3 linked regions of the Anolis sagrei genome follow. The protein of the gene in region 1 binds, or shares a complex with, the protein of each later gene. Links are inferred from orthologs where the notes say so. Each region holds a gene or a part of one and is shown in the gene's direction. Other genes may lie near its edges.

Region 1 (10,390 bases):
GTATTTTTGGACTGACATAATGTAGTGCCAGGTGGTAGGGTCAATCACAAGTTAATGCAATACGATTTAAATAGGTTAGCATGGCAAATTCTATGTAAAGACATTTCCTGAAAAGAAATGTGAGCATCAGACATCAAAGGCCGTTTTATTATATCAACTAAGGACTGCATTGAATTTGACAATGATGTAGAAAGGACAGGAAATGTTATGCCTCATGCTCTTCCATTTCTTCATCTTTCTTAAGACAGAACTTGACATGTTCCCCAACCACTGAAATGAGCAAGTATGGAAGACAAGGGCCCTACCACACAAAAGAAACAAGAGAGAATGGGTTAAACGTGGGTGGAGGGAGTGTGTGGCTAGATGGTGTTACTGGTACGATGGACGTTCATTAAAGATTTCTCTTGACCCACTTCTATTTATCACAGGACACTGAAACTGCTCATGTGTAATGATCTAACTCTCAATAGGTTATGTGCCAATTTACAACCCAGAATTGATAATGGTCGTGATTTCACAGGTGCTGAAGGGGTGTGAGGTTTGATCATGGACCCAGCGGAATACAGAGCAGTCCTCAAGTTCCTTTACTTGAAAGGCTGCACACCAAAGGAGGCATTCGAGGAAATGAAAGAGATTTATGGTGATGATTACCCATCATATGATATAGTCAAGAATTGGCATTGTCAATTCAAATTAGTTGGCCTTCAGTGCAAACAGCTCCAATTCTAGGGCAATCCCACTCTACTATTGATCCAGCAAATAGAGATCGCCGTTTTGGAAAATTGCCACATAACCATTCACCCCCTAGCCCAAAATGTCAAGATTAGTGTGGGGTCCAAGACCATATTCACATGGATAAGGTATCCGCTCGCTGGGTTTCCCAGCTGCTCACGCCTTTCCAGAAGCAGGAACGAGCCAAATGCTGTCGGGTAACGATGTGCCATGGAAACCAGGAGAACTTTTTCAACAGATTGATGACACAGAATGAAAGCTGGGTCCATCACTGTGATCCTGAGACTAAAGACCTGTCAATGCATTGACTCATCGCCTCCAAAGAAGGTATGCGCCCAACTCTCGGCAGGCAAGGTCAGGCTCACAGTATTTTGGGACCAGCACGGAGTAGGATTGATGGATTTCCTAGCAAAGGTTACCATGATCACTGGGGCATACTATGCTCCACTGCTATGGAAATTGTGGGAGGCCATGGAAACCAAAAGATGTGCAATTCTCAACAAAGGTGTCTGCCTTCTACAAGACAATGCACCAGTTTACAACTCACATGTTGCCCAATGGAAGCATGCTCCTGTGACTTTGAAATTCCTCCACATCCCCCTTATTCACTCAACTTTGTACCACTGAACTTACACTTCTTTCCAACAATGAAGTTACTTTTGAAGGGCAAGCATTTTTCAGGTGAAACTCTGATTTCTGAAGTCACAACGTGGCTTTTGGAGCAACTATGCAAAAAATGTGTGTCCCTAGGGGGCACCTATGTAGAGAAGAGTATTGAAGGAACCAGCAGAAGTAGTTTCAGAACCACTGGTGATAATCTTTGAGGATTCTTGAAGAACAGGAGAAATCCCAGCAGACCGGAGGAGGGCAAATGTTGTCCCTATCTTCAAGAAGGGGGGAAAAAGAGGATCCAAACAACTACCAGTCAGCCTGACATCAATACCAGGAATGATTCTGGAGCAGATCATTAAGGAGGCAGTCTGCAATCACTTAGAAAGGAATGCTGTCATTACTAAAAGTCAACCTGGATTTCTCTAAAGCAAGTCATGCCAGACTAATCTTATCTCTTTTTTTGATAGAGTTACAAGCTTGGTAGATGCAGGGAATGCTGTGGATGTAGCATATCTTGATTTCAGTAGGGCCCTCAACAAAGTTCCTCATGACCTTCTTGCAAGTAAACAAGTCAAATGTGGGCTAGGCAATGCTATTATTAGGTGGATCTGTCATTGGTTAAGTGACTGTACCCAAAGGGTGCTCACCAATGGCTCCACTTCATCCTGGAAAAATTAAAACATTTAAAAAACACCAAGATATCTCTACCTTACATTTGAAGTCTATGTCATGTCATGAACACAGTAGGTTGCTGTTTCTCAAGTGAGTGACTCAGTAAAATTTGGAGCCCCCAGTGACGCAGTGGGTTAAACTGCTGAGCTGCTAAACTGCTCTGACAGGAAGGTAACAACACGCCATGCAGTCATGCTGGCCACATGACCTTGGAGGTTCTACAGACAATGCTGGCTCTTCGGCTTAGAAATGGAGATGAGTACCACCCTCCAGATTTGGACACGACTGGACTTAATGTCAGAGGAAAACCTTTACCTTTACCTCAGTGGAATTTAATGTGTGTGATGAAGTAGTAGGACAAAGTACTGTGAAGCAACTGGAAAACCAAGATGATGATATACTTATTCATCATTTTTTATTAGAGTTCTTCATTGTTGACTGGTATATCAGGACAGAAGAGGCTTTATGTAGGAAAGTAATCATTGGCAAGAGATAGCTAAGTTAGAACTGGAATTATTCTTAAAAGGTCAGAGATATGAGTGAGCAGAAAAGTTTGTGGTAGGTTTTGAAAAAAGAATCCCAGAGAGCTTATTACAATGTTTGGGAACATTTTGCTGATGCTGACCTCCATGAAGTAAATGGCACTTCTCATAATAATTTGAGGACGTTGGAGTCCAATGAAGGCAAAGGCATATTATATGCCATCTGCTGCAGGAAGAGTATTTTGCAAACAAATTGTTCCTTCTCTTTCAAAAAGTCAGACTTCCATAGGTGGTTTCTGTATACCGAAGCATCTTTAGTCTTGCCTTTCAGAAACAAGAAATGCAGGGGATAGCATTCCTGCGGTGAAAGTGCCTGCTGCTTCATCAGCAAAATGGTTTATAGCTACAGCATCTCAGGAGATAAGTGTTATATTTCCTCCTATGAGATAAGTGTTAACACAGTTAGTCCTTCTATGAGACAACTGAACTGTGGCAATTTCAGCAACATCTCACTGCGTTCAAATGGAAATGCTAATTAGCAGCACAGCATTTTCACCAGACAAGGCTTGCATGAAAAAATACTATCCTGAAAAGGCATACAGCCACATTATTATTTTACTGTTCCAGTCTTACAATCCTATTGCTTTTCATGTGCATTTTGGCTGACATTTTGGCCTTTTTGAACTAAAGGTTTTATTTTCTCAGCTAAGATGGCAACAACTTCCCAGCTATTGACTTCAAACTGAAAAATAGAGCTAAAGTCGAGAATCTGCAAGACGCCAGTTTTAAAGGAATTGCACTGGCTGTTTATATTCAAGCTGCTGGAAATAACATTAAAACCACGTTGGGACCTTGATAGATGACAGTGGGCCTGAGATTTGAAGTCTGCTGGAGGGGCCCTCCTTTGAGTTCCACTTGTCAGGCCAATACATTGTGGGAGGACATAAGATGTGGGGGGGAAAGGGGGAAAGGCTGGTTGCAAAAAGAATAATCCAACCCAAAATACGTTCTTTCTATCTACTATATTTGATCCACACTATAATATTTGAGTGTGTTTTTTCTGTGGTGACTTTTGGTTTCCTACCAGTGAAAACAGTGAGCACCCTGTCCTCCTGGCCAAGTTGCTAAATGCTTAACTCATATCTGCACTTCATTTTTTTTTTTTGTCGTGTCAGGAGACACTTGAGAAACTGGAAGTCATTTCTGGTGTGAGAGAATTGGCCGTCTGCAAGGACGTTGCCCAGGGGACGCCTGGATGTTTTGATGTTTTATCATCCTTGTGGGAGGCTTCTCTCATGTCCCCACTTGAGGAGCTGGAGCTGGTAGAGGGAGCTCATCCGCCTCTCCCCGGATTCGAACCTGCGACCTGTCGGTCTTCAGTCCTGCCGGCACAGGGGTTTAACCCACTGCGCCACTGGGGGCTCCATCTGCACTTCATGACTTGTCTTCTTCTGTCCCAAGGAATCAAGGCTAGAACTTCAGTGCAATGTTTTCCTCTGAGGCTGTAACTGATTTATACAAGATTATTTATTTTTTATTTGTGAATAAAATAAGGAAATGAATAAGGGAAGGGACCACGTGGTTCAGAGAGGGAACGGCACACTGAGGGCGGGAATATACTTCATAGCTGCATTTGGTGGAAGGATAGAAAGGAGGGGAGAGTTAGGATAAGGTTTAGAATAAAGTTTATGGTTTGGGTTAGGGTTAGGGGTTAGGCTTACGGTTAGGGAAAGAGTTAGGGTTAGGGTTTTTTGTTTTTCTGTTGCCATGTCAGGAATTACTTGAGAAACTGCAAGTCGCTTCTCATGTGAGATAATTGGCCATCTGCAAAGACATTGCCCAGGGGACACCCGGATGTTTTGATGTTTTACCACCCTTATGGGAGGCTTCTCTCATGTCCCCGCATGGAGAGCTGGAGCTGATAGAGGGAGCTCATCCATGCTCTCCTTGGATTTGTGAACCTGTGACCTGTCAATCTTCAGTCCTGCTGGCACAGAGGTTTAACCCACTGCGCCACCGGGGGCTCCAGGGTTAGGGATTAGGCTTAGGGTTAGGGTAAGGGTTAGGGTTTGGGGTTGGGTTTTACCATTAAAGAACTCTTGGTTATAGTATGATAGCTGGGTCTGGAAGCTCCGAGCATTCCAGAGATGCTGCAAGGCGGCTGTGAATAAGGGAAGAGAGGGAGCAGTGAGAGCGGGGAGAGCGAGGGAAGGATAGAGAGGAGAGGACGCTTAGGGTAAAGGGTAGGACAAGGTTTAGGGTTTGTGTTTGGGTTAGGTTTATGATTAGAGTGAGGGTTGGGGTTACATTTAGGGTACACTTTAGGGTTTGGGTTAGCGTAAGGGTTAGAGTAAGGTTTTGGTTTAGAGTAAGGGTTAGATTTAGAGTTTGGGTAAGGGGTTAGGCTTAGGCTTACGGTACGGTTCAGGGTTAGGGTTTCCCCATTAAAGAACTCTTCCATTCCTTGTATATTATCTGTCTCCGGCCTGGCTTACATTAGCTAAGTCTCTCTTGCGCAAACAGCGCTCCCGAAGGAGCGATGTGGCATCTCCATAACGCTTGGAGCTTCTGGACCCAGCTATCATACTATTACCAAAGTCTTACATCCCTTCTATAATATCTGTGTCCGGCCTGGCTTATATTACCTCAGTCTCTCACTCTGCCCCCGTCTCGGTCACGTGTTCTGTACCGTGTTACGCAAACAGCGCTCTCGAAGGAGCGAAGCAGAAATAGTGTAACACTCGGAGCTTCCAGACCCAGCAATCATATTATCACATGGCTTTGTCAAACTACAACCAAGGATTCCAAAGCATAGAGCCATGGTAGTTAAAGTGGGATCAAACTGCATTAAATCTACAGTGTACATGTAGCAACATAAGTCTTTGGCCTGCATGAGAACACACAGGAATACATCGGTGGCGCAGTGGGTTAAAGCCCTGTGCCGGCAGGACAGGTTGCAGGTTCGAATCCAGGGAGAGGCGGATGAGCTCCCTCTATCAGCTCCAGCTCCTCATGCGGGGATATGAGAGAAGCCTCCCACAAGGGTGATAAAAACATCAAAAATCATCCGGGCTTCCCCTGGGCAACGTCCTTGCAGACAGCCAATTCTCTCACAACAGGACACTCCTGAAACGACAAAAAAAAATTGCAGAAATGTTTGCCTAAGAATCCCTTTGGAAGGGGACTAAACATGATTTGTTTACAAATGTGCATGTTAGCTAGGAATCCATAAGCATTGAACGCTAATCATATAATTGAAACCCAATTGTCATATTTATTTATTTATTCATAGCAGCACAATCATTAGATTTGGTTAAGGATGTCCTGCCAAAACAAAGGTTGTGGAGTCTAATCAACTTTTTCCCATGTTTTGATGATAGAACCAATTAGGAAATGACACTTTATAGCCCAGGAACAAAAATCACTTTACATAAAATTAAAGCTAGATTAAGGTAAAGGTTTTCTCTTGACATTAAGCCCAGTCGTGTCCGACTCTGGGAGTTGGTGCTCATCTCCATTTCTAAGCCGAAGAGTCGGCGTTGTTCGTAGACACCTCCAAGGTCATGTGGCCTGCATGACTGCATGGAGTGACGTTTAAAGCGAGATTAACATGGGAAAATAACCATCAGAAAGGAAGGAGGGAGTCTTTGTTTGTGTGTCTGCGTTTTGTTGTTATTTTATAATGTTTTGTTCTGTTTTTATATAGTTCTTGTTCTCATGTGCGCGCGAGTTTCTTTGTGAATAGTAGAAATGGCTTAGTTCTAGAGCTGACTCTGTCCTAGTGACGTCACTAGGGCCACAGATCCCCCCCCCCGCCTAGAAATACAATATTTATTCCTTCCGGAAGTCCCACCTTCTGTTTTGTAGCTGATTGGCAGGCGAATTGGCGGAAGTGGCGTCATCGCAGCAGCGTCAGCTCGCGCGCTCAGTAATGGCGGAGCTCTGGAGCTGACGGTAAGTTGTGGGGAAGAAAGGGAAGCGGAAGTTTCAGTTTGGGACCCTTCCTCTCTCTCTCTCTCTTTCATTGTCTCTCCGTTCGAAGGGAGGTGGCGGGAAAAGGACAGGAGTTGCTTGGCAACGGCCTTCCCGTTTGGGAGGGCGAAAAGGCTTCACATCTGTTCACTGTTCGCCTTAGTTCCCACTCCCTCTCCCAAGTTGACTCCCCAGGCCGCTTGAACTCCCAGGACTCGGTGGAAACCTGCGAGCTGTGGGTTGATGAGGCGCCGGCGCTCTTCAGGCGAGAAGGCTCAAGGCCTTGTTAAACTACGACTCCATTGCATTGAGCCATCGCAGTTACAGTTGTGTCACACCTCATTAAACCTACACTGTAGCGAAGAAAGCTGAGAGGAAGAAAATAAACACGTCAAAGTGTGTTCTACACTTCTTGCATAGCCAAAAAGACAAATCAATGGGTCCTGAAGCAGATTTGATAATCTGAATTATATGGTGATAGCCATCCCCAGCCTTGCGTTGCTGTGGCCCACATGGGGGTTCTGTGTGGGAGGTTTGGCCCAATTCTATAGATGGGGTTCAGAATGGTCTGTGATTGTAGGTGAACTATATATCCCAGCAACTATATATCCCAGCAATTCCTGCTTCTTGGCAGGGGTTTGGACTGGATGGCCCATGAGGTCTCTTCCAATTCTTTGATTCTAACTACAACTCCCAATTGTCAAAATTCTATTTTCCCCAAACCCCACCAGTGTTCACATTTGGGTATATTGAGTCTTCGTGTAGAGTTTGGTCCAGATCCATCATTGTTTGAGTCCACAGTGATCTGTGGATGTAGGAAAACTACAACTCCAAAACCAAAGGACACTACCCATCAAACCCTTCCAGTATGGGAGAACTGTGCCAAGTTTGGTTCAATTCCATCGTTGTTGAGGTTCAGAATGCTCTTTGATTGAGGTGAACTATAAATCCCAACAACTACAATTCCCAAATGACAAAATCAATTTTTTGCATGAAGGACATACGTTGGGTTGTTAGGTGTCTTGTGTCCAAATTTGGTGTCAATTCGTCCAGTGGTTATTAAGTTATGTTAATCCCACAAATGAACATTACATTTTTATTTATATAGGACTAGCTGTCCCCTGCCACGTGTTGCAGTGACCCAGTCTGTTGATCTGGAAAATAAAGTCATGAGAAAGTGTTGGTTTCTAATATATGTATTTCCTTTATGATTGTGAGTAAACAGTATTTCTTGTTGTTTCTTTGTCAGTGTTGATGTGGAGAGTGTCTGGTTTGCTTACTCTGGAATATGCAACATGGACATTGTCCTTCTTTAAGGGTCTCTTTCAAATCTATGATACTATATCTGTGTGTGAGAGAATCATATCTATCTATCTATATTTATGACTGGATGGGTCTTTGTCAGAAGGGCTCTGATTACATTTTCTTGCCCTGGTGAAGAGAGTTGGACTGGATGGCCTTAAGTATTTTCTGTTGTAAACTCCATCTGTGTTCATATTTGGGCATATGGAATATTCATGCCAAGTTTGGTCCAGATCCATCATTGTTTGAGTACATAGTGCTCTCTGGATGTGGCTGAACTATAATTCCCAAACTCAAGGTCAATGACCACCAAACCTTTCCAGTTTTTTCTGTTGGTCATGGGAGCCCTGTGTGCTAAGTTTGGCCCAATTCCATCATTGGTGGAGTTCAGAATGCTCTTTGATTGTAGGTAAACTATAAATCCCAGCAACGACAATTCCCAAATGACAAAATCAATTTTTTTTGTGTGGTGGACATACATTGGACTGTTAGGTGTTTTGTCCAAATTTGGTGTCAATTCCCCCAGTGGTTTTTGAGTTCTGATGGCAGCATGAACTAACACTACATTTTTATTTATATAGATTGTAGATCCACCTTGAGTCTGCAAGGGCTGTTGTGGATAGTAGGGTGAGTTGCATGCCTTTTATGCATGGGGTCACCATAAATCAAAGTTGACTTTGTAGTAATTAACAACAACAACCTCCACCACCCTATGTCAGGCTATGCAGATGTTATTGTTTCTTTACTGTTATTGGAACATATAGAAGAGGGAATTTCAGTAGATGTTACTTGCCCCATAGCTGGGTAACAGTCAAAAACTTCCTGAAGTTTCTACACAGCCATTAAAGGAATAGGAGCCCTCTCTAGTTTTCAGTCTGGCTTCCCTAAATTGGAGGCTGTTTTGCAGGGTTGGGTGAATATGCTTCTTTGCCTCCTCTTTCCTCAACCTCTCAATGCCATGGAATAATTTCTTCTGCGACGTGTCACTTCGGATGTGCTGACTTGCTCATTTCTCGCAATTTGTGTGAATATGTATGTGAATGTATGTGAGATCAGTAAATGCAAACCAGTTTTCCGATATCTAACCCCTCCAAGCTGTAATCTGGCCGTGTGAGTTGTACCCATAACTACATCTTTCATCTATGGCATGGTGTGCCTTTCTTTCTGTCTGCCTTGTCTTTTGCACTTCTGCATTTTTTGTGGCTCCACATCATTTTCTACACACACTGACTAATGAATTACCAAGAAAATAATTTTGTGGGTATTTTTAATCTATGAACATTTTTGACAGGTTATAATAGGTCTAGATTAAATAGGAGACTTGCAAAATTGCCTTAGTTGCATTTTCTGGTGTTTTTTTTAAAAAAGATGTTGTTTTTTATTTACAGATGAACTGTTTTGCCTGGAAGAATAACAAATATCCTTCAACTTGATTTCTGCACATTGTTCATTATCAATTCAAAGCTTGTAGTGGATCAAGAGGAAGAAAAATGAAGAGTGGGGTGACACAGGTGAATGTAAGTTCTTTATTGGCTCTGCAGGTTGGCATTGGCTTCATTGGCTTTGCAGGTTGGCAAGGAAGATGGTTGTTACTTCTTTCATAGAAGGAACAAGGTAATGGAATGAGTGACCAGTTTCCTGCTCTTTTTGTGTATTGCCATGTAAAGTGATGGCGGAGGAGAAAAATTAAATGGAGTCTGCTTCCCTGCTTATTCACATTCTCATTGAGAACCATGAACACTTTTATGTGTGCAGAAGATGAGAGAGCAGCCAGATATGCATGTGCTGCTCTTAAAAAAAAGAGGACTGATTCTTGGCATTTTATCTAGCTGGCACCAAATCCCATCTGATATTGGAGGAGATATAACTAGGACCTGTTCATTTCAGTTATGTTCAATTAACATTCATTTCTTTGAAACCATAGTGAGTCAGATTCAACCTGCAGAAAAGGTGGAAATGTTGTATCCAGTGTAAATGAGTTCTTTTAGAAGTGAGCTATGGGAACACCGACTCCTCCTAATTATTGGACTGCTGCTCCCATGAACTCTAGTCACCATAACCAGTGGTGAGGGATGATGAGAGTTGAAATCCAGAAACATCTGGAGAGCTGCATGTTCCCCATCCATGGACTAGATTCTCAAAACCACTTCATGAGTGGCAAGTGGATGGTAGGAGGGAATGGTGTTTTTTCTTTTCTGACTGGAGTCTTTTTGTCCAACATCAAGTGCCTCTCTACACCACTCTGTATATCTGATGAACAGCTTTCTTTCATGTGCAAGGGAATGTAATGGGGAGGTCTTAGAATACATGTTGCGCTCTGGCCGATGTATTTATACTTTAATTTTAAAATTTGTTGTATTTATAGTCCAGTTCCAGTTATGAAAGGAGAGAAACTAACAATCTTCGACAGAGAAGTTTGTCTCCAGAAGACAGGTAAAAGGTTGTTTTTTTTTTCCTTTTACTGATAGCCCTCCACATTCAATGGGGTTAGAACACAGGACACCCTTGAAAGTGGGAAGGCTGAACATTAAACAGTGTTTTTTTTTCCAACTGAGATAATATCTCTCTAGGAATCTCTAGGTCTTCCTGTGCAATTCTGTGGTCAACATCTGTTGGAA
Region 2 (10,541 bases), on another chromosome or scaffold:
TCTGCTTTGAACTGGATTATATGAATCTACACTGCCATATAATCCAGTTCAAAGCAGATAATCTGGATTTTATATATTTATTATTATTATTTATTATTTATTTATTATTTGCATTTGTTAACCGCCACTCTCAGCCCGGAGGCGACTCGTGGCGGTGTACAAAACATAGAACATAAAGACAACAATTACAATAATTAGGAACATAACACACATCTACTAACACACAACTAATTAAACTAAAAATCCGCTTCGTCTTGTTTGGGTCATAATCCATCTCGTCGTCATAATCCATTCCGGTGGTCATAACAAAAGAAACATAGCACTTAATTAAAGGCCTTTTCAAAGAGCCAGGTTTTCAAGCCCCTACGGAAAGCCATGAGGGACGGCGCCTGTCTAACCTCAGCAGGGAGGGAGTTCCACAGCCGGGGGGCCACCACGGAGAAGGCCCGCTCTCTGGTCCCCGCCAAGCGTGCCTGCGAGGCAGGCGGGACCGAGAGAAGGGTCTCCCCGGATGATCTTAAGGTCCTCGTGGGCTCGTAGGCCGAGATGCGGTACTCAAGGTAGCAGTGTAGAAGGGACCCTTGACTATTGAGGAAGACAAATGGATTTGATGAGCCTGGAAAAGCAAATATATGTCTTGTGTGTTTTCACCTCTTTGAATGCTAGCACATGGGTTTGTGGACGAGCCACAAAAGTAGATAAAACATGGACCGGGGGTTACTGGTCAGTTTCTGGGTGATTCCATAGAATCATGGGGCTCCCAAGGGCCATCTAGACCAACCCTCTGCAAGTGCAAGAACCTGAAACATCCCTGAGAATTAGAATGCTTTAAATTTAAAGGAGAATTCATTCTTATCTCAGGCAGTCAATTGCACCAAGAAGAAAATTATAAATGTCAGTCTGATACCACCATCCCAAACTTGCACTGTCAATTTTTGTGTGTGGAAGGGTTATGTTTTGTTGCACCTTGCAAACCTCCGGTTCTCATCTCATTTATTTTAACGTGTGGAGTGTCCCCACTTAAGAGGCATTTGTGTGTGAGTAAGTTCACGCAGGTATTGCAAAAGAATGATTTATAACCGAGCTGTTGTAATGCTTTAGATTGACAAAGTGCTCTTCACAACGGTAGTTCGTGATACGGATCTGATTAAATGGGCCATGGTACACACAAGCTTTCGCCAAGGTGTTTGTTCTGTTCTTTCGGATTGCATAAAATGTTTTGCTGTGTTTGCTTTAAAGGTGATATAGGGGAACCCCTTCTATACACTGTTTTCTATGGATATTATTATTATTATTATTATTATTATTATTATTATTATTTCCAGCACTTATACCCCGCCCTTCTCACCCCCGAGGGGGGACTCAGGGTGGCTTACACAACGAGGCACCATTCGGCACCCATACAATTACATTTATACAAGTGACAATCATAATAAACAATTAAAACAGTTATCATGGTTAAAACAACGATGCAAATTAACAATCAGTAACACAGCATATAGAACAATTCACGTGTTCAGCATTTGTCTTTCCGGGTTCCAGATTCCAATCCATTATACCTTTCCTAGATGGTATCCATTCTTCACCTGCTCATTGACCAAACGCTTGGTCCCACAACCAAGTTTTGAGTTTTCTCCTAAAGGAGAGAAGTGAGGTCACTGTTCTGATTTCCCCGGGGAGCGAGTTCCACAGGCAGGGAGCCGCCACCGAGAAGGCCCTGCTCCTCGTCCCCGCCAGCCTCACTTGTGACACTGGCGGGGTCGAGAGCAGGGCCCCCCCGGCCAATCTTAAACTCCGGGTGGGACGTAAAGGGACATTATACTGATGGAGTATAATGGGAACTGTAGTATGAACGTTGTTCCCACGTTGCTCATCATGCAAATCCTCTTTAGGAAATGCCTAGTTGGCATAGAACGGTCTGTTTCTATTGGAGGGCTGTTCAGGACCAGAGGCAGGGTACCTCAATATTTTTTATTTTCCCTCCCAGAGAATAATAAAATCATAGAATGATAGCGTTGAAAGAGACCACATGGACCATCTAGTCCCGTGATGGTGAACCTATGAGACGCGTGTCAGCACTGACACGTCGCATAGCTATTTTTGATGACACGCGGCCACATGCGGCCGCATACAGAGAAGTACACCTTATAAGAGCCAATCTAATTCCATTCTTAAATCTGTAAAAGGCTCTACAAATTTAACATCTGCACGTTTGAGCATTGTTCACTCCATAACTCAGCATGGAATATACATTATGTTTTTTTTCCTCAAAGTTGACACCCCACCCAAGTTATGCTCAGGTTTTTGGCAAATTTTGACACAGTAAACTCAAAAGGTTGCCCATCACTGATTTAGTCCAATCCCTGAGATACTGAGAGGTTAAGAGATGGGAAAGTGAAAATACAGTGGCTTGAATATGTGTTGTCAACGGCTTGCATGGCGGGAATAACTGGGTTGCTGTGAGTTTTCCAGGATGTATGGCCATATTCCTGAAGCACTCCATAGTGTTGCCCCTATGATGCACTTTCCCCAGTCCTAAATTGAATGCCTACCCCACTGTTTAGCCTTTTTGGGTTCCCCTTAATTACATATTTTCTTTCCTACTTCATCCAGGGTTTTGTCATTTTACCTCCTCCATTTGGCCTGTGTTAATTTGTTTTATTTATCCTATTTTGCTACTGTACATTATTTTATTTTGATGTAATTTTTTGTTTTCAGCATTCTGTATTTTATTTTGTTGTGTTGTATTTGGGCTTGGCCTCATGTTAGCTGCCCTGAGTCCCCTCTGGGGAGCTGGTGGCGGGATATAGATAAAGATTATTATTATTATCATCATCATCATCATCATCATCCTCTCCGGATGTTTCACCCACATCTATGTCAGGCATCCTCAGGGGTTGTGAGTTCTGTGGAAACTAGGCAAGAACATAAATCTGTGGAATTATGTTCAGGGTGGGAGAAAGAACTCTTGTCTGTTTGAGGCATGTGTGAATGTTGCAATTGGCCGCCTTGATTAGCATTGAATAGCTGTGCAGCTTCAAAGCCTGGCTGCTTCCTGCCTGGGGCAATTCTTTGTTGGGAAGTATTAGCTGGCCCTGATTGTTCCATGTCTGGAAACATTTCTCAGCAAAGGATTCCCCCAGGCAAGTAGCAGCCAGGCTTTGAAACTGCAAGGCTATTCAATGCTAACCAAACCGGCCAATTGCAGCATTCACACTTGCCTCCAACAGACAAGAGTTCTTTCTCCCACCTGTTCACCCTCCCACCCTGGACATTATTCCACAGATATGTAAACCCAATTTTCCTAGTTTCCAACAAACCTCACAACCTCTGAGAATGCCTGTCATAGATATGGGCGAAACGTCAGGAAAAAATGCTTCTGAAACATGACCATACACTCCAGAAAACTTGCAGCAATCCAGGTTTGAATATGACTGGCAAGATGGAAGGAAACATCTCAGATCCGAAAAATTGAGGGAAAAAAGACTGCTGCTGGTGAGTCCTGAATGACTCAGCTCCTCAGGCACCAATGATACCATTGTGTGCCAAAAAGGTCATTCCCTGTCCCTTTGTGAAGCAGGCTGTTCATGGCTCCCTGCTGATGGCCTCCTCTGCCGGCTGCAGGCGGATCAATAGGGTGTCCACTTCCAGACAAGGTTTTAATTGGCCTGCCTTGTTGACTGAAATGCTACAGCAGAGTTCCATAGCTGTGCAAGTCCAGTGCTCTTGTGTTTTTCCACTGCTGCTTCTCTCTCTCTCGTTTTTTGATATGAAAAATCTTGCAAAAAGGAGTATAGCATTTAGATCAAAGGAAGTCATGGTGCTCATCTAGTCTGCTTTGCTCGGACTTCATCTGGAATAACACTCCGTTCAATCCTGGGCAAAACAATTTAAGAGAGATATTGACAAGTGGAATATGTCCAGAGGAAGATGACTAAAATGTTCAAAATCTAGAGACCATATATACCTTTGAAGAGCGTCTTAAAGAGCTAGGTCTGTTTAGCCTCCAGATGAGAAGGTTGAGAGGAGACACGAGAGTATAAATATTTGAAAGGCTGTCATAAGGAAGAGGGGGCAGGCTTGTTTTATGCTGCCCTTGGAATTAGGACTTGGAGCAATGGGTTCAAATGACAGGAAAGGATATTCTACTTGAACATTAGGAAAAGCTTTCTTACTGTAAGGGGAGCTGTTGAGCAGTGGAACTCTCTGCCTCGAGGTGTGGTGGAAGCTCCTTCCTTGGAGGCTTTTAAACAGGCTGGTGTGGCCATCTGTTGGGGGTGCTTTGATTGTGCTTTTCCTGCATGGATAGGGGTTGGACTAGATAAAAACAATAGTAATTTATTTTTTTAGCATAAACATCAAATGAAAACTATTATTATATTATTATTTCTATTCTGCTGTTAGATCTAACATGGAGATGCAAAGTGGCTCCCAACAATTTAAAATATACAAATATTTATTTATTTATTATTTACGACATTTATATAGAATCATAGAGTTGGAAGAGACCTCATGGGCCATCCAGTCCAACCCCATTCTGCCAAGAAGCAGGAATATTGCATTCAAAGCACCCCCGACAGATGCCCATCCATCCTCTGTTTAAAAGCTTCCAAAGAAGGAGCCTCCACCACACTCCGGGGCAGAGAGTTCCACTGCTGATCAGCTCTCACAGTCAGGAAGTTCAGATGGAATCTCCTTTCTTGTAGTTTGAAGCCATTGTTCCTCGTCCTAATCTCCAGGGAAGCAGAAAACAAGCTTGCTCCCTCCTCCTCCCTGTGGCTTCGTCTCACATATTTATACTTGGCTATCCTATCTCCTCTCATCCTTCTCTTCTTCAGGCTAAACATGCCCAGCTCCTTAAGCCGCTCCTCATAGGGCTTGTTCTCCAGACCCTTGATCATTTTAGTCGCCCTCCTCTGGGCACCCTCCTCTGCTGCCCTTTTCACCCCGAAGGGGATTCAGAGCGGCTTACAAGGTATATATACATACAATATATTATATTATTAGCATAGTACAATGTCGATATTGAATATTACTATTTTGTACTATACCATTATATTGTAATATTATTACTAATATTACATGTAATATAAATATAAAATTATATCATATTAGTAGTAGTATATTGCATTACATTATAATATTATACATACTACATGTATATACAATAAATTATACTACATTATATTATAAATTTATTGTAAATTATTATAAATTCTCCCTCCAAACTATAAATATTAAAATAGGATCAAATACACACCTTGGTTAAAATCTGATGGCTTTTTTGCTAGGAAGGGACTGGATCCCATTGCACTGAGCCATAGTAATGCAAGTGGTGTCAAACTGCATTAATTCTACAGTGTAGACGCACCCTTAGTTATTAAATTCAGTGTTGTAATGTATATTAGGAGTTACATGCATTAATTATTGTGAGATATGAGGTTTGAGATTTAATTGCATTAGACGCATTTATGACACTTTTCAGGGCCAAAAAAAGAAAGGAAATCTCTGAGCTGCCAGCCTTTTGGAACTATCAACAAAGCTGCGGTTGCGCATGCGCAGTATCTCGGCTTCCAAAGCGGCGCGTGAAAGCAGCAAAGAGCACGAGGCAAGGGACGATCGTGATTGGCTGCTCCCGGAGAAGGCTCGACCTATCCAGAGAGAGGACGCGACCTGACGCTCGCCGAAGCCTGCCGGGAAGTAGCGCGCATGCGCAAACTCACACAGGAAGAGAAACCAAGATGAAGTAAGTTTTGGGTGCATCTACGCTGTAGAGTTAATGCAGTTTGAGCCCGCTTTAACTGCCAGGGCTCGGTGTTATGGAACTGTGGGAGTTGGACAAATTTGACAAGGTCTTTAACCTACCTTGGCAATTTTAAATTGGCATTCTATTCTTACTGTATTTTTAATCATTGTACAGTTTGGCTTTTTAAGATATGTATTTTATAGTAATGTGTTCTAAAATATGTATTTTAGTAATGCATTTTAATATAAGTATTTTATAGTGATGTGTTTTAATATATGTATTTATAGTGGTGCATTTTAATATATGCATTTGATAATAATGCATTCATTAGGCATTATTATCAAATGCATCATTATCAACCGCCTCGAGTCGCCTTCGGGTTGAATGGGGCAGTATATAAATATGGTAAATAAATAAATAAACAAACAATGCATTTTAATATATGTATTTTCTTGTATGTGTTTTATGTTGCTGTGCTTTGACAGTATTTATTTATATTTATTTATTTATTTGGGGTTCTTGTACCCCGCCCTTCTCACCCCGAAGGGGACCCAGGGCGGCTTACAGCTGCAAGGCGCACTTAGACGCCTGCTACACAAACAATCATCACAAAAAATATAACAGTACAAATTCCCACAATTCAACATTATCCAATAAAATCAGTAAAATGATAAAATCAGTAAAAACAATACAAACCTGGAACTTCCTCCTACCCATCAGTGTACAATTAACTCAAAGATCTGTTTTGGTTCCATTTCGACAATCCTGCCGATCTCACACATCTGATTGTCTTATTTGGTTGTCATTGTCTAATTGTCTGGTTGCCCAAAGGCTTGGTTCCACAGCCATGTCTTCACCCTCCTCCTGAAGGAGAGGAGGGTTGGTGCTGTTCTGATTTCCCCCGGGAGTGAATTCCACAGGTGGGGGGCCACCACTGAGAAGGTATTGTTGTTGTTATTATTATTTATTTGCTATATTTATATACCACCCCTCTCAGCCCGCAGGCAACTTGAGGCGGTTCACAAGGCAACAATTCAATGCCCAACAACATCATAAAAACATTTTAAAATATTAACATATAATATCAACCATAACAAGTTAGTAAAACAAATCATTTTGTACCCCATCTCAAGGGAAAGTGTGTGACAAAAACATTATTATTATTATTATTATTATTATTATTATTATTATTTACATGTACATAATGTTACAGCACACATGCACATTAGGTCCAAGTGTCTCTTATTGTTGTTGTTGTTATTATTATTATTATGTTTATGTTTATTTATACCCCACTTTATCTCTTTTGAAGGAGACTCAAAACGGCTTAAATTAAAAGTATGACCACACTGTTCAAAATATACAAATATGCATACATTAAAACATAATTAAAAATGTTGTTGTTATTATTATTATTGGCTAATAGTCTTACAAATGATAACTCCCATGATTACACAGAATAAGCCATGGCAGTTATCGTCAACTCTTTTTTTTTCATGTCAGGAGTGACTTGAGAAACTGCAAGTCACTTCTGGTGTGAGAGAATTGGCAATCTGCAAGGACGTTGCCCAGGGACATCCAGATGTTTTATCATCCTTATTTACTTATTTATTTATTTGGGGTGCCTCTACCCCGCCCTTCTCAACCCCCTAGGGGGGACTCAGGGCAGCTTACAAAAGGCACAATTCGATGCCCAACAATTCACAAAATACAATATACAAAATTACAAAATAACGTCAACAGTTATAAGTAGTCCCTTCATGTCCCTTCACGAGGAGCTGGAACTGACAAAGGGAGCTCATCTGCGCTCTTCCTGGATTCGAACCTCAGGCCTGTCAGTCTTCAGTCCTGCCAGCACAAGGGTTTAACCCACTATGTCACCAGCGGCTCCTGGTCAACTGAATTAATTCAGTAGTTTAGATGCACCCTGGGTCATGGTTAATAGAAAGTTAAAACCTGGCTTTTTGAGCAAGCATTTGCAAATGCAGTGTAACTGGCAAATCTAGATCCATAGAATGACTAGACGAGGCAAGTCGAAAATTATTTTAGTAAGGAGACGCTGAGGACTTATGCTTTTATTCGTTTTATTTGATTTTATATTATAGGTTGAATGTTTTAAATTGTGTTTTATGTTGTTGGAGACATCGAATTGTGCCGCCTGTAAACTGCCTTGAGTTGCCTTCAGCAAATAAATACATAATAGAAAGCCATGTAGCAAATTGAGTCATGGAGAAAGGGTGGTATGAAAATGAAGTAATATAGTTGGAGATAGCAACCTTCTCAAGCTTCCTCTTTTTAATGTTTTGTCTGTTTATAATGTGTTGTTTATTTCCTGTAGTGTATGTCTTCTTTGGTTTGCAGTCTTCTTAGCTTTATGTACTAGAGGCAGTGGGAGGGGCTATAGACCATGTGACTGGTTCGGTGACTCCTTAGAATGAAGTTTAAAAGGATGGCAGTTGAGGAATGACAGTTGAGGCTTGAATCAGCTTGCGTACAGAAGCCAGTGTAGGAAGTTAGAAGACTGTTAAGGTTTGAGTCCCTTGGAAGTAGACTGTTATGAAAGAGAGCTGTCCAGAGCGATATAGTTTTGAAGAGACTGTTGAAGATTATTAAGTTAAAGATACAAACTGAAATGTTTAAAGTTTAACTTGATAAGAAATGTGCCTATATATTTAAATACATGCAGTTATGAGTATTGTAAAGAAGTCTACTTGAATCTTTGTCTGCTGAGAGCATAGAATAGAAACAAGATATTTACACGCCCAGTGATCATCCATTACCCAATAAACTATAAGAGCGCTTCTGAAATTCTGCTATCCAATAGGTTATGATCCTAACATAATAAATATAAATATTGAGAACCCCAATTATCCCAAGTCAGGTGTGGGATATGCAGTGTGGCTTTTGGTTTCAGCTCCCCTTTTCTGTTTTTACCCTTTTCTAGCCCACTTACTAAGGTGAAGCTGATCAACGAACTGAATGAACGTGAAGCACAGCTGGGAGTGCAAGATAAGGTTTCCTGGCATTCGGAATACAGCGATAGCGCTTGGGTGTTTGTGGGTGCGTGCCATGTTCTTGGAATATGATAATTACATTGAATTATCTTTGTGTTTTTAAAATTCAAATCTTTATTAATGTCTTCTCTTTTTTTCTAGGGGGGTTGCCATATGAACTGACAGAAGGGGATATTATCTGTGTATTTTCACAGTAAGTAAAAATAGGTCTAATACACCAAGATTATGTTTATTTAAGATTTTTAATAATGTTTCCCATAAAATCAAAGTAAACAGCAATTAAATAGATAGATAGATAGATAGATATAGTTTGCATGATTATTAAAAAAATCTTAGTGCAATAATAATAATAATAATAACAATAATAAAAAAAACTTTATACCCCGCTCCATCTCCCCCAAGGGCAGTTTACATGAGGCCACGCCCATCAATACAATGCACAACAATATAACACAAGAACATAATAAAACCAAAAAATAAAATACATAAAATGCAAAACAATTTAATAAGCAACACAACAATATGAAATCAGACATTAAAACAAAAAAGATTTCGCTGGGCAGGGCCAAATTCAGGACACATTGAGTTTAATAGGACTGACCCTCAGGTAAATGCATATTGTAGGGTTTCTCAATATGCAATATGCAAAATAAATATTCTTTTAGCTGTAGGTATAATAATTTAGCAAATACAAGTTTCGGAATCTGCTTTTTGACCACATTGCTATCAGAAAATGTTGTGAAGCTTTGTATGTTAGCACTTGTGTTTTGTTAAACTGACTCTGCTTGGTCTTTTTTTGAAAGTGGAAAAGTTGAAGTTACTGCCTTTCTCTGCAGATATGGGGAGATTGTGAACATAAACCTGGTTCGTGACAAGAAGACAGGGAAATCCAAAGGTTTCTGCTTCATTTGCTATGAAGATCAGCGAAGCACCATCCTTGCAGTTGATAATTTCAACGGGATAAAGGTGGGTGATCTGTCTGGCAAACCAAGTACTATATATATTTAGTAAAATGAAGGAAATGCAATAATAACAGTAATAATAACAGTAATAATAGAGTAAAATAATAAATGTAAAAAAAAGAAAAAATACAATAAAATAATTGAGCAAAATAATGGATATATAATAATAATAAATAGAGAAAAATAATAAATGCAATAAAATAATAATAGAGTAAAATAATGGAAATGCAATAATAATAAATAGAGTGGCTCCCTGACTCTGGAACTCACTTCCTGAAGAGATTAGGAAAGCCCCTACCCTAGAAACCTTTAAAAAGAACCTTAAAACCTGGCTCTTCCGCTGCGCATTTGATGAATAGATTTACATCTTCACACTAGTGTTCAGCTTCAACGTTTTTTGTCATTCGAGTATATTCCCCCCTTATGGGAAAGCTTGGTTCCACGACCTCCACTATAATGAGCAAATCAGTTTCTATTTTATCTCGCCTGAGTTTTTAATATGCTTTTAATCAGCCTTTCTTTTATCCATTACATGTAGCTTGCCCATTGTCATTGTGATTGTGCTTATTGTAATTTTATATTGCTATGTTTTCATTTGTTTTATGTAATTACATTGTTATTGTTTATTATTTGTGTTTTCGGTTTTATTTTATGTTTGGGCTTGGCCTCATGTAAGCCGCTCTGAGTCCCCATTGGAGAGATGGTGGCGGGGTACAAATAAAGTTTATTATTATTATTATTATTAAAATAATAAATGTAATAAAAATAATATTAACAGAGTAAAATAATAAATAACCTTGACTGAAGTATAAGCCAAGG
Region 3 (10,944 bases), on another chromosome or scaffold:
TGCTGTGGCCTATAGTAAAACTTATCAAAGTTGAGGTAGATATCTGGACTATTATGAAAGAGAGGTCCCTACCTCTTCCTTCCCCCTTTTCCTCCCCCTTTCTCTCCTTTCTTCCTTCTCTACCTCTTTCTTTCTTTCCTTCTTTCACTACTTGGTTTCATCCTTCTCTCTTTCCTTCATTCCCTCCCCCTTCCTTCCTTTGCCTTTCTTCCCTCCCTGTTTGCTTCCTTCTTTCACTTTTTATTTCCTTTTATTTCACCACCATCCTAACAATAACAATAATGCAGTGCATTGCCTCTGGGACCTGACACCTCTCCCATTCCCCCTAAAAGGGTCTCATAGGAACAATAGCATAATAATAATAATAGAAATAACAACCTTTACCCGCCACGTGTTGCTGTGGCCAATCTTCCCTCTTTCCCTCCCTCCCTCCCTCCCTCCCTCCCTTCCTCCTTCCTTCCTTCCTTCCTTCCTTCCTTCCTTCCTTCCTTCCTTCCTTCCCATCTTTCCTTTTCCTCTTCTTTCTCTATCTCTTTCCTTCCTTCCCCCTTTTTCTTTCTCTTCTGCTGTCTCTCTTTTCTTTCCTTCCATCTTTCCTTTTCTTTTCTTTCCTTTTCTTCTTCCTCTAACTTTCCTTCCTTCCCCCTTTTTCTTTACCTCCCTTTCTCTTTCTTCCTTCTTTCCTTCCTTCCTGTCTTTCCTAGATTTTGACAGGGCGGGAAGGGGCGGGGTGGGGTTTGGAGGTGGCATGAAGTAAAAGGAGGTAAGATTGGGGCAGGGGAGTGATGGAACGTGGGGTTGCGTGTGTGTGTGCGGCAGCGGGGGGAGTGATGGAGCGTGGGGTTGCGTGTGTGTGTGCGGCGGCGGGGGGAGTGGGGTTGCATGTGTGTGTGCGGCGGTGGGGGGAGTGGGGTTGCGTGTGTGTGCGGCGGGGGGGACTGATGGAGCGTGGGGTTGCGTGTGTGTGTGTGGCGGCGGGGGGAGTGGGGTTGCGTGTGTGTATGCGGCGGCGGGGGGAGTGATGGAGCGTGGGGTTGCGTGTGTGTGTGCGGCAGGGTGTGTGTGTGTGCGGGAAGCGGCGCGGCAGGGCTTGGAGTGGGCATGGTTTCCGCAGAGGGAACGTTGGCCGGAAGGCCATGTGCGCGCGCCAGGGAACTTGCGGCTGGGCGCCAATGCGCATGCTCAGTTGTTTTGCCATTTTGTGAGTGTGTTGTGTTGTTTTTCATTTTGAGTAGATATGTTTGTACCTTGTGGGTTGTGTTATGGGTATGGGAATTTTGGTTAAGTTTCGTTGGGGTTTTTTTGAGTTTTGTTCTTTTGCCGTTTTGTGAGTGTGTTGCTGTGTTGTTTTTCATTTTGAGTAGGTATGTTTGTACCTTGTGGGTTGTGTTATGGGCACGGGGGTTTTAGTTAAGTTTCGTTGGGGTTTTTTTTAGTTTTGTTGTTTTGCCGTTTTGTGAGTGTGTTGTTGTGTTGTTTTTCATTTTGAGTAGATATGTTTGTACCTTGTGGGTTGTGTTATGGGCATGGGAATTTTGGTTAAGTTTCGTTGGGGGTTTTTTGAGTTTTGTTTCCTCGATGGATGCCCCTAACAAATTTATATATATAGATATATAGTCCCCTTCCACATGTTGCTGTGGCCCAGTCTGTGTATATGTGTTTTGTGTGTATATATTTGTCTATATATGTGTGTTTGTATATATGTGGGGGTATATATGTGTGTGTATATATTTGTGTATTTATATGTGTACATGCATATTATGTATGTGTGTGTTTGTCTATAAGCAAATTTGTGTGTATGCATATGTATATGTGCATGTGTATTATATATGTGTGTATATGTGTATATTTGTGTGTATTTGTGCATATATATACATGTGTGTATTAATGTGTGCATGTGTATATGTATATGAGTGTATGTGTATATGTATATATGGTGTCTTTTCTTGGGTTTTTAAGTCTGGTCTGGTGGGGTTGTGTGTGTGTGTGTGTGTGTTTAGGGGGGATGGGACAGCTTAAGACCAAACCTACAGAATCCATCTTGTTTGGAATTTGGGGACTGCCTGTATGTGTATATGTGTGTGTCTGTGTGTGTGTGTGTGTGTTTGCAAGTGTGTATACCCATCAACTGAGGGTACAGTTGATGGGTATACACACGTGTCATGACTTGATGGTCTGGAATCATGGGAAGTGTAGGTTGGTATCAGCACTCATTGGTAAAGAAGGCAAAACATCTTGTAAAATTACAGCTCCCCTGATTCCATATCATTGAGCTATGGCAGTTAAAGTGGTGTCAAACTGCATTAATTCTACAGTGTACATGCACCCTGAACTCTCAATTACTCAAGTTACTTCCAACACAATATGAATAGGATCACAACTATGGAAACAATGAAGATGGCATCCTATACACACTTACTTGAGATTAATCCACACTTTTCCAAAATATGTGTAGGACATTACATTCTAAAATGTAATTCAAAGAGGACCAATTCCACCACTTGATTATCTGATATCTGTTAGTTTTCCCAAGTTGTCAAATTAATAGCTATCTCATGCACTCTTCTGTTCAGAGGTTGTCACTGCAGCTAGTGGCCAAAGCCAGCACTTTGAATTGGGCCTGGTAGTAATCTGGCAGCCATGGCTTCTGCATCCCAATCTAGCCCTATATGCCAGAATATCAGGGCAAAAAAATCCCACAGTATCTGCTTTGAACTAAGACTACACTGCCATATTTCCCAGTTCAAAGCAAATAATGTGGGATTTTATTTAGCTGTGTGGAAGGGGCCACAGAGGGTTTGCTAGAGTTAGCATCCTTTTGTGGCTTAAGTTTAAAATCATGCAAATATATATATATGCATATGCATACATGCCTACATTCACACACACATCTCTGCAGCTCTCATGAGAAAAAACAATCAGAATAGAAGAAATAGAAGAGGCAATACGATCTGCCAAAAGTAATAAAGCTCCAGGGCCAGATGGTTAAAAAAAAAAAAAAGAATTGTGCTGAATAACGGTTTACCTACACTGATACCACTTTAACTGCCAGGACTCGATGCTAGAGATTCACAGAAGTTGTACTTTTACAAGATCTTTCGCCTTCTCTTTCTCCGTTTATCATTCCAGAAGTTTCTTTTTTTTGTTGTTTCAAAAAATGCACAACTTTTTATTTCTTATCTGCCTCTCCTTGTCTCACGGTGGGTTAGAGTGTCATTGAAACACATAAACATTGTAAAAATACAATACAATAAATTTCTATAAAATGAACATATTATACCTAAATACACCTAAAACAAACCATACATTATTAAATTTTTTTGTAATGTATTTCCAAAAAACGAATCCAAGGCTGAAATTAAAATTGCTGGAAGAAACATTAACAACCTTAGATATGCAGATGATACCACTTTGATGGCCAAAAGCGAGGATGAGCTGAGGAGCCTTCTAACCAAGGTGAAAGAAGAAAGTGCAAAGGCTGGGTTGCAGTTAAACATCAAAAAAACCAAGATTGTGGCAACAAGACTGATAGATAACTGGCAAATAGAGGGAGAAAATGTGGAGGCAGTGACAGACTTTGTATTCCTAGGCGCAAAGATTATTGCAGATGCAGACTGCAGCCAGGAAATCAGAAGATGTTTACTTCTTGGGAGGAGAGCCATGACCAATCTCGGTAGAATAGTGAAGAGTAGAGACATCACACTGGCAATGAAGATATGAATAGTTAAAGCAATGGTATTCCCCAAAGTAACATATGGATACTAGAGCTGGACTATGTGGAAAGCTGAGCGAAGGAAGATAGACGCTTTTGAACTCTGGTGTTGGAGGAAAATTCTGAGAGTGCCTTGGACCACAAGAAGATCCAACCAGTCCATATCAAATCATAGTAGCACTGCAGAACTTTCTCTTGAAAAGAGCTGTTCTCATATCACTCACTTCCAAAGTCTCCTCGTTTGGCTGCTTCAGATCTATTCAGTTGAAGAAAAAGGATCACATCTGGTTTTGGAAGCCCCACATCAGGTTGTTTACACCATTCTAAAGAGAGGTTCTCTTTAGCACCTTTAGCACCATTCCCTCCAATGAGCCCGACTGCTCATTGGAGGGAAGGATAGTAGAGAGAAAGATGTACTTTGGCCACATAATGGGGAGACAGGAAAGCTTAGAGAAGACAATGGTGCTGGGGAAAAAGGAAGGAAGAAGGAAGAGGGGCTGACCAAGGGCAAGATGGATGGATGGTATCCTTGAAGTGACTGTCTTGACTCTTAAGAAGCTGGGGGTGGTGACAGCCAACAGGGAGCTCTGACGTGGGCTGGTCCATGAGGTCACAAGGAGTCGGAAGCGACTGAATAAATATAAAAAACAATTTCCATTTTTAAAGAAAATTCGGTACACTCCTAACAGTTTACTGTTTTGGAATGGATTTAATTATTTGCACCCCATTCCCCAAATACAGACACTATTATCATTTTATCATGCTGGAAATTTTTTTTCTTGTTGTTTCAAAAAGTGCACAACTTTTAATAGTTTTTAATTCAGGAATGTATTTATTTGAAATCCCCCCCCCCCCAATGAATAATATATTTTTATTTCTTACCTGCCTCTCCTTGTGTCTCAAGGTGGGTTACAGTATAATTGTAACACATAAAGATTGTAAATAATTTTATTGTTCATTTTTCAAATATAACAACCTAAAAATACATTGAAGCGATGGTCTTCCACCATCAACTCCGCTGGACCGGCCACGTTGTCCGAATGCCCAACCACTGTCTCACAAAGTAGTTGCTCTACTCCGAACTCAAGAACAGAAAAGGGAATGTTGGAGGACAGGAAAAGAGGTTTAAAGATGGGCTCAATGAAACCTTAAAAACTCTGGCATAGACACTGAGAACTGGGAAGCCCTGGCCCGTGAGTGCTCTAGCTGGAGGTCAGCCATGACCAGCACTGCTGTAGAATTTGAAGAGGCATGAATGGAGGGCGAAAGAGAGAAATGTGCTAAGAGGAAGGCGTGTCAAGCCAACCCCAACCAGGACCGCCTTCCACCTGGAAACCAATGCCCTCACCGTGGGAGAAGATGCAGATCATGAATAGGGCTCCACAGTCACCTACGAACCCACTGCCAGAACACCCATCTTGGAAGACAATCCTACTCGGACGAGGGATCACCTAAGTAATTACAATAAAATGAATTTCTATAAAACACACTAGCCATCCCCTGGGCCACACGTTGCTGTGGCCCAGTCTGTGTATATGTGTTTTGTGTGTGTATATATGTTTGTGTACTTACTTACTTACTTACTTACTTAGGCGATCCCTCCTTGTCCGAGTAAGATTGTCCTCCAAGTTCGGTGTTTGTGTATATGTGTATATATGTGAGTTTGTGTATATATGTGGTTTTGTGTATAATGTAATTCTTATTTCTGTCTTTTTAAGTCTCTTCTGCTGTGTTTTAAGGTGTTTTTTATCAGTGATGGTCACTTGTTGACCTGATAGGTGTATTGTGTCCCAATTTGGTGTCAATTAGTCCAGTGGTTTTTGAGTTATGTTAATCCCACAAACGAACATTACATTTTTATTTATATAGATGTTACACTTAAATACACCTAAAACAAACTATACATTATTTAAATTTTGCTATATATACAAAATAGTAGTAATAATAATAATAATGCAATGCACTCTTAAGAGTTTACTATTCTGGAATGGATTTAATAATTTGCACACACTCTTAAAAGTTTATCAGTCTGGAACCAATTTTTTTAAATGTTTTCAGAGCAAAGTGCAAAATAAAGAAATATAATCCAGAATTATATACTTTTAAGACTGTATATATTTTGGGGATGGGAATAAAAACATTCCAGAATGATGAATTGCCTTGTTTTGTAGGGAAAAGGTATACAAATAATAACTGACTGCAGGACACTCCATCTCTACCACTTACAACTCACTTTTGCTATTTTGGCTTCACCTAAGCCCCGCCCCTTGAGCGAATGACGTAGTCGATCCGGACTCCGCCCCATTTCCCCGCCACTTAAGACCGCATGGTTCTTCTGCGCATGCGCTGCGGAGAAGAGTGTCGTCAGTTCCTTCAGGGTAAAGAAGAAAACCTCCAAAGCACCGGAAGTGCTCTGTGGTGACTAACGGAAGTAGGTTCGGCGTTGGATCTGGAAGGCTTCTGCTGAAGGAGCTGGGTCGTTGTGGCGGGAAGAGTTGTGGAGACGAGACGACAAGATGGTGGAGGTGAGGGAAAAAGGACTCTTTCTTGGCCGGGCATTGAAATGCCGGGCTGCCGGAGTTTAAGGAATGAAGACCAGTTTAAGGGATGGCGCGGGAGGATGCTGGTGGTTTCTGTATTGTCTCAGGAGTATTTCGTTGCTATCTGTTATTCCACTTGGGCGTGTTTTCACTCGGAATAATTTGTATTTACAGCATAGAGCAGGCATGGGCAAACTTCGAGCCTCCAGGTGTTTTGGACTTCAACTCCCACAATTCCTAACAGCCTCCGGCTGTTAAGAATTGTGGGAGTTGAAGTCCAAAACACCTGGAGGCCCGAAGTTTGCCCATGCCTGGCTTAGACTGAAAAAAAGCAGCGAGATCTCTCAAGCTTAAACAAGAAATTAAGTTATGTTCTGTATAGACCTTATACATAGGCCTAAGGTGATTTTGCTTACGATATTTTAAATAATTAAAGTGTATGAAGGTGACAGTCTCAGCCATTGATGTGGACCATTGTGGAGTATTTTGGATTTCAGGAATTCTGGATAAGAGACGCTCAGCTGGTAACGAAAGTTGCAATATCTTCCTTCCCCGGTCTGCCCACCCCTCCAGAATCTCCCAAACCAATTGTGTGTGTGTATATATATATAATTATATATATATATCCTGGTTTATCTCTCGATATGGAGACTCAAAGTGCCTCACAATCAAAAATATTACAAATTCAAATATACAATAAGAGTACAGTATATTATTATATATTATAAGTAGTAATTATCTATATAAATAAAAATGTAATGTTCGTTTGTGAGATTAACATAACTCAAAAACCACTGGACAAATTGACACAAAATTTAGCAGTATTCTCACCTCCATTCGAGGGACTCAGGCTGGTTTCCAACATCCATATTGCAAACAGTCATTAAAACATCATATTCTAAATCACACTAAAACATTAAAATACAGTCATATGATTACAGTGGTCAGTCGTCATCAAAAATCATTATTCGTCGTCATCCATCCATATCACAGGGTCATGGCTCATTCGTCGAAAGCCAATCCCCAAAGCCAAGTTTTCACATGTTTCCTGAACGTTAAGATAGAAGGCTCCAGCAAAGGATCGCCGCCTTGTCGGGGCGCTGGAGCTTGAGCACCTCAATGATGTCATGAGCGAAACCGTGAAGGGACACCCAAGACGGGACGGTTGTGGCAGAGAGGTCAGACCAAGCGTGATCCCTGGGGAAGGCAATGGCAAACCACTCCAGTATCCTTGCCAAGAAAACTAAATGGACCAGTACAATCAGAGATATGTCGGTATGCCATTGGAAGATGGGACTCCCAGGTCGGAAGATGGCCAAAATGCTACTGGGGAGGAGCAGAGGATAAGTTCAACTAGCCCCAGATGTGATGACGCAGCTAGCTCAAAGCCGAAAGGAAGGCTAGCGGCCGACGGTACTGGAGGTGAACGACGAATCCGATGCTCTAAAGATCAACACACCATAGGAACCTGGAATGTAAGATCTATGAGCCAGGGCAAATTGGATGTTGTTATTGGTGAGATGTCAAGACTAAAGATAGACATTCTGGGGGTCAGCGAACTGAAATGGACTGGAATGGGCCACTTCACATCAGATGACCACCAGATCTACTACTGCGGACAAGAGGAACATCGAAGAAATGGAGTAGCCTTCATAATTAATAAGAAATTCGCTAAAGCGGTGCTTGGATACAACCCAAAAAATGACAGAATGATCTCAATTCGAGTGCAAGGAAAGCCTTTCAACATCACAGTGATCCAAATATACGCCCCAACCACAGCTGCTGAAGAAGCAGAAGTAGATCAGTTCTATGAGGATCTGCAGGACCTACTGGATAATACACCAAAAAGAGACATTATTTTCATTACAGGAGACTGGAATGCCAAGGTGGGAAGTCAAATGACAACTGGGATCACAGGCAAGCATGGTCTGGGAGAACAAAATGAAGCGGGACGCAGGCTGATAGAATTCTGCCAGGAAAACTCGCTGTGTATAACGAATACTCTCTTCCAACAACCTAAAAGACGGCTTTATACATGGACCTCACCAGATGGTCAACACCGAAATCAGATTGACTACATCCTTTGCAGCCAAAGGTGGCGGACATCCATCCAGTCCGTGAAAACAAGACCTGGGGCTGACTGCAGCTCAGATCACGAACTTCTTATTGCCCAATTTAGAATAAAACTAAAGAGATCAGGGAAAATACACAGACCAGTTAGATATGATCTCACTAACATTCCTAGCGAATATACAGTGGAAGTGAAGAACAGATTTGAAGGACTAGATTTAGTAAACAGAGTCCCAGAAGAACTATGGACAGAAGTCCGTGACATTGTTCAGGAGATGGCAACAAAGTACGTTCCAAAGAAAAAGAAAACCAAGAAGGCAAAATGGTTGTCTGCTGAGACACTGGAAGTAGCCCAAGAAAGGAGGAAAGCAAAAGGAAACAGTGAAAAGGGGAGATATGCCCAGTTAAATGCGCAATTCCAGAGGTTAGCCAGAAGAGATAAGGAACTATTTTTAAATAAGCAATGCATGGAAGTGGAAGAAGACAACAGAATAGGAAGGACAAGAGACCTCTTCCAGAAAATTAGAAACATTGGAGGTAAATTTCAGGCAAAAATTGGTATGATAAGAAACAAAGATGGCAGGGACCTAACAGAAGCTGAAGAGATCAAGAGAAGGTGGCGAGACTATACAGAAGATCTATATAGGAAGGATAACAATATCGAGGATAGCTTTGATGGTGTGGTGAATGAATTAGAACCAGACATCCTGAGGAGTGAGGTTGAATGGGCCTTAAGAAGCATTGCTAACAACAAGGCAGCAGGAGATGATGGGATCCCAGCTGAACTGTTTAAAATCTTAAAAGATGATGCTGTCAAGGTGATGCATGCCATTTGCCAGCAAATATGGAAAACACAAGAATGGCCATCAGACTGGAAAAAATCAACTTATATCCCCATACCAAAAAAGGGAAATGCGAAAGACTGCTCCAACTTCCGTACAGTGGCCCTTATTTCTCATGCCAGTAAGGTAATGCTCAAGATCCTGCAAGGAAGACTCCAGCAATACATGGAGCGAGAGTTGCCAGATGTTCAAGCTGGGTTTAGAAAAGGCAGAGGAACGAGAGACCAGATTGCCAATATCCGCTGGATAATGGAGAAAGGCAGGGAGTTTCAGAAAAACATCTACTTCTGTTTCATTGACTACTCTAAAGCCTTTGACTGTGTGGATCATAATAAATTGTGGCAAGTTCTTGGTGGGATGGGCATCCCAAGCCACCTTGTCTCTCTCCTGAGGAATCTGTACAAGGACCAAGTAGCAACAGTCAGAACTGACCACGGAACAACAGACTGGTTCAAGATTGGGAAAGGCGTACGGCAAGGCTGCATCCTCTCACCCAACCTTTTTAACTTGTATGCAGAACACATCATGCGATGTGCGGGGCTGGATGAATGCAAAGCTGGGGTGAAAATTGCTGGAAGAAACATTAACAACCTCAGATATGCAGATGACACCACTCTGATGGCCGAAAGCGAGGAGGAGCTGAGGAGCCTTCTAATCAAGGTGAAAGAAGAAAGCGCAAAAGCCGGGTTGCAGCTAAACGTCAAAAAAACCAAGATTATGGCAACAAGAATGATTGACAACTGGAAAATAGAGGGAGAAACCGTGGAGGCCGTGACAGACTTTGTATCTCTAGGTGCAAAGATGACTGCAGATGCAGACTGTAGCCAGGAAATCAGAAGACGCTTACTTCTTGGGAGGAGAGCAATGTCCAGTCTCGATAAAATAGTAAAGAGTAGAGACATCAGACTGGCAACAAAGATCCGCCTAGTCAAAGCCATGGTATTCCCTGTAGTCACCTACGGATGTGAGAGCTGGACCTTAGGGAAGGCTGAGCGAAGGAAGATCGATGCTTTTGAGCTGTGGTGCTGGAGGAAAGTTCTGAGAGTGCCTTGGACTGCGAGAAGATCCAACCAGTCCATCCTCCAGGAAATAAAGCCCGACTGCTCACTGGAGGGAAAGATACTAGAGACAAAGTTGAAGTACTTTGGCCACATCATGAGGAGACAGGAAAGCCTAGAGAAGACAATTATGCTGGGGAAAGTGGAAGGCAAAAGGAAGAGGGGCCGACCAAGGGCAAGATGGATGGATGGCATCCTTGAAGTGACTGGACTGACCTTGAGGGAGCTGGGGGTGGTAACGGCCGACAGGGAGCTCTGGCGTAGGCTGGTCCATGAGGTCACGAAGAGTCGGAGACGACTGAACGATTGAACAACAACAAGATAGAAGGGGCAGTTCTGATCTCCAGTGGAAGGGAGTTCCAGAGTCGAGGGGCCACCACTGAGAAGGCCCTGTCTCTCGTCCCCACCAGCCGCGCCTGTGAGGCCGGTGGGATCGAGAGCAGGGCCCCTCCAGACGATCTTAGCAATCTTGATGGCTCATAGGGGAGGATACGTTCAGACAGGTAAATTGGGCCAAAGTCGTATATATCCTGGTTTATCTCTCGATACGGAGACTCAAAGTGCCTCACAATCAAAAATATTACAAATTCAAATATACAATAAGAGAACAGTATATTATATATTATCAGCCGTAATTATCTATATAAATAAAAATGTAATGTTCGTTTGGGATTAACATAACTCAAAAACCACTGGATGAATTGACACAAAATTTGGACACA

The links. Proteins that work in one complex are often made in the same cells at the same time.
Region 2: CWC22 (region 1) and RBMX2 share a complex: the UniProt entries of both Homo sapiens proteins name them as parts of the minor spliceosome. The link is inferred for Anolis sagrei from reciprocal best matches to the Homo sapiens genes CWC22 and RBMX2.
Region 3: CWC22 (region 1) and PLRG1 share a complex: the UniProt entries of both Homo sapiens proteins name them as parts of the minor spliceosome. The link is inferred for Anolis sagrei from reciprocal best matches to the Homo sapiens genes CWC22 and PLRG1.

The regions. Positions count from the first base shown.
Region 1 is NC_090021.1:188,701,268-188,711,657, forward strand, and holds the start of CWC22 (pre-mRNA-splicing factor CWC22 homolog), read left to right. Parts: upstream 1-6,393; 5' UTR 6,394-6,452; intron 6,453-8,353; exon of another isoform or gene 8,354-8,399; intron 8,400-9,160; 5' UTR 9,161-9,262; coding exon 9,263-9,289; intron 9,290-10,137; coding exon 10,138-10,205; coding exon of another isoform or gene 10,206-10,212; intron 10,213-10,390. UniProt on the Homo sapiens protein: Required for pre-mRNA splicing as component of the spliceosome. As a component of the minor spliceosome, involved in the splicing of U12-type introns in pre-mRNAs. Promotes exon-junction complex (EJC) assembly.
Region 2 is NC_090030.1:10,482,681-10,493,221, reverse strand, and holds the start of RBMX2 (RNA-binding motif protein, X-linked 2), read left to right. Parts: upstream 1-5,674; 5' UTR 5,675-5,741; coding exon 5,742-5,746; intron 5,747-8,690; coding exon 8,691-8,806; intron 8,807-8,901; coding exon 8,902-8,953; intron 8,954-9,596; coding exon 9,597-9,726; intron 9,727-10,541. UniProt on the Homo sapiens protein: Involved in pre-mRNA splicing as component of the activated spliceosome. As a component of the minor spliceosome, involved in the splicing of U12-type introns in pre-mRNAs.
Region 3 is NC_090025.1:52,014,863-52,025,806, reverse strand, and holds the start of PLRG1 (pleiotropic regulator 1), read left to right. Parts: upstream 1-6,077; 5' UTR 6,078-6,228; coding exon 6,229-6,237; intron 6,238-10,944. UniProt on the Homo sapiens protein: Involved in pre-mRNA splicing as component of the spliceosome. Component of the PRP19-CDC5L complex that forms an integral part of the spliceosome and is required for activating pre-mRNA splicing.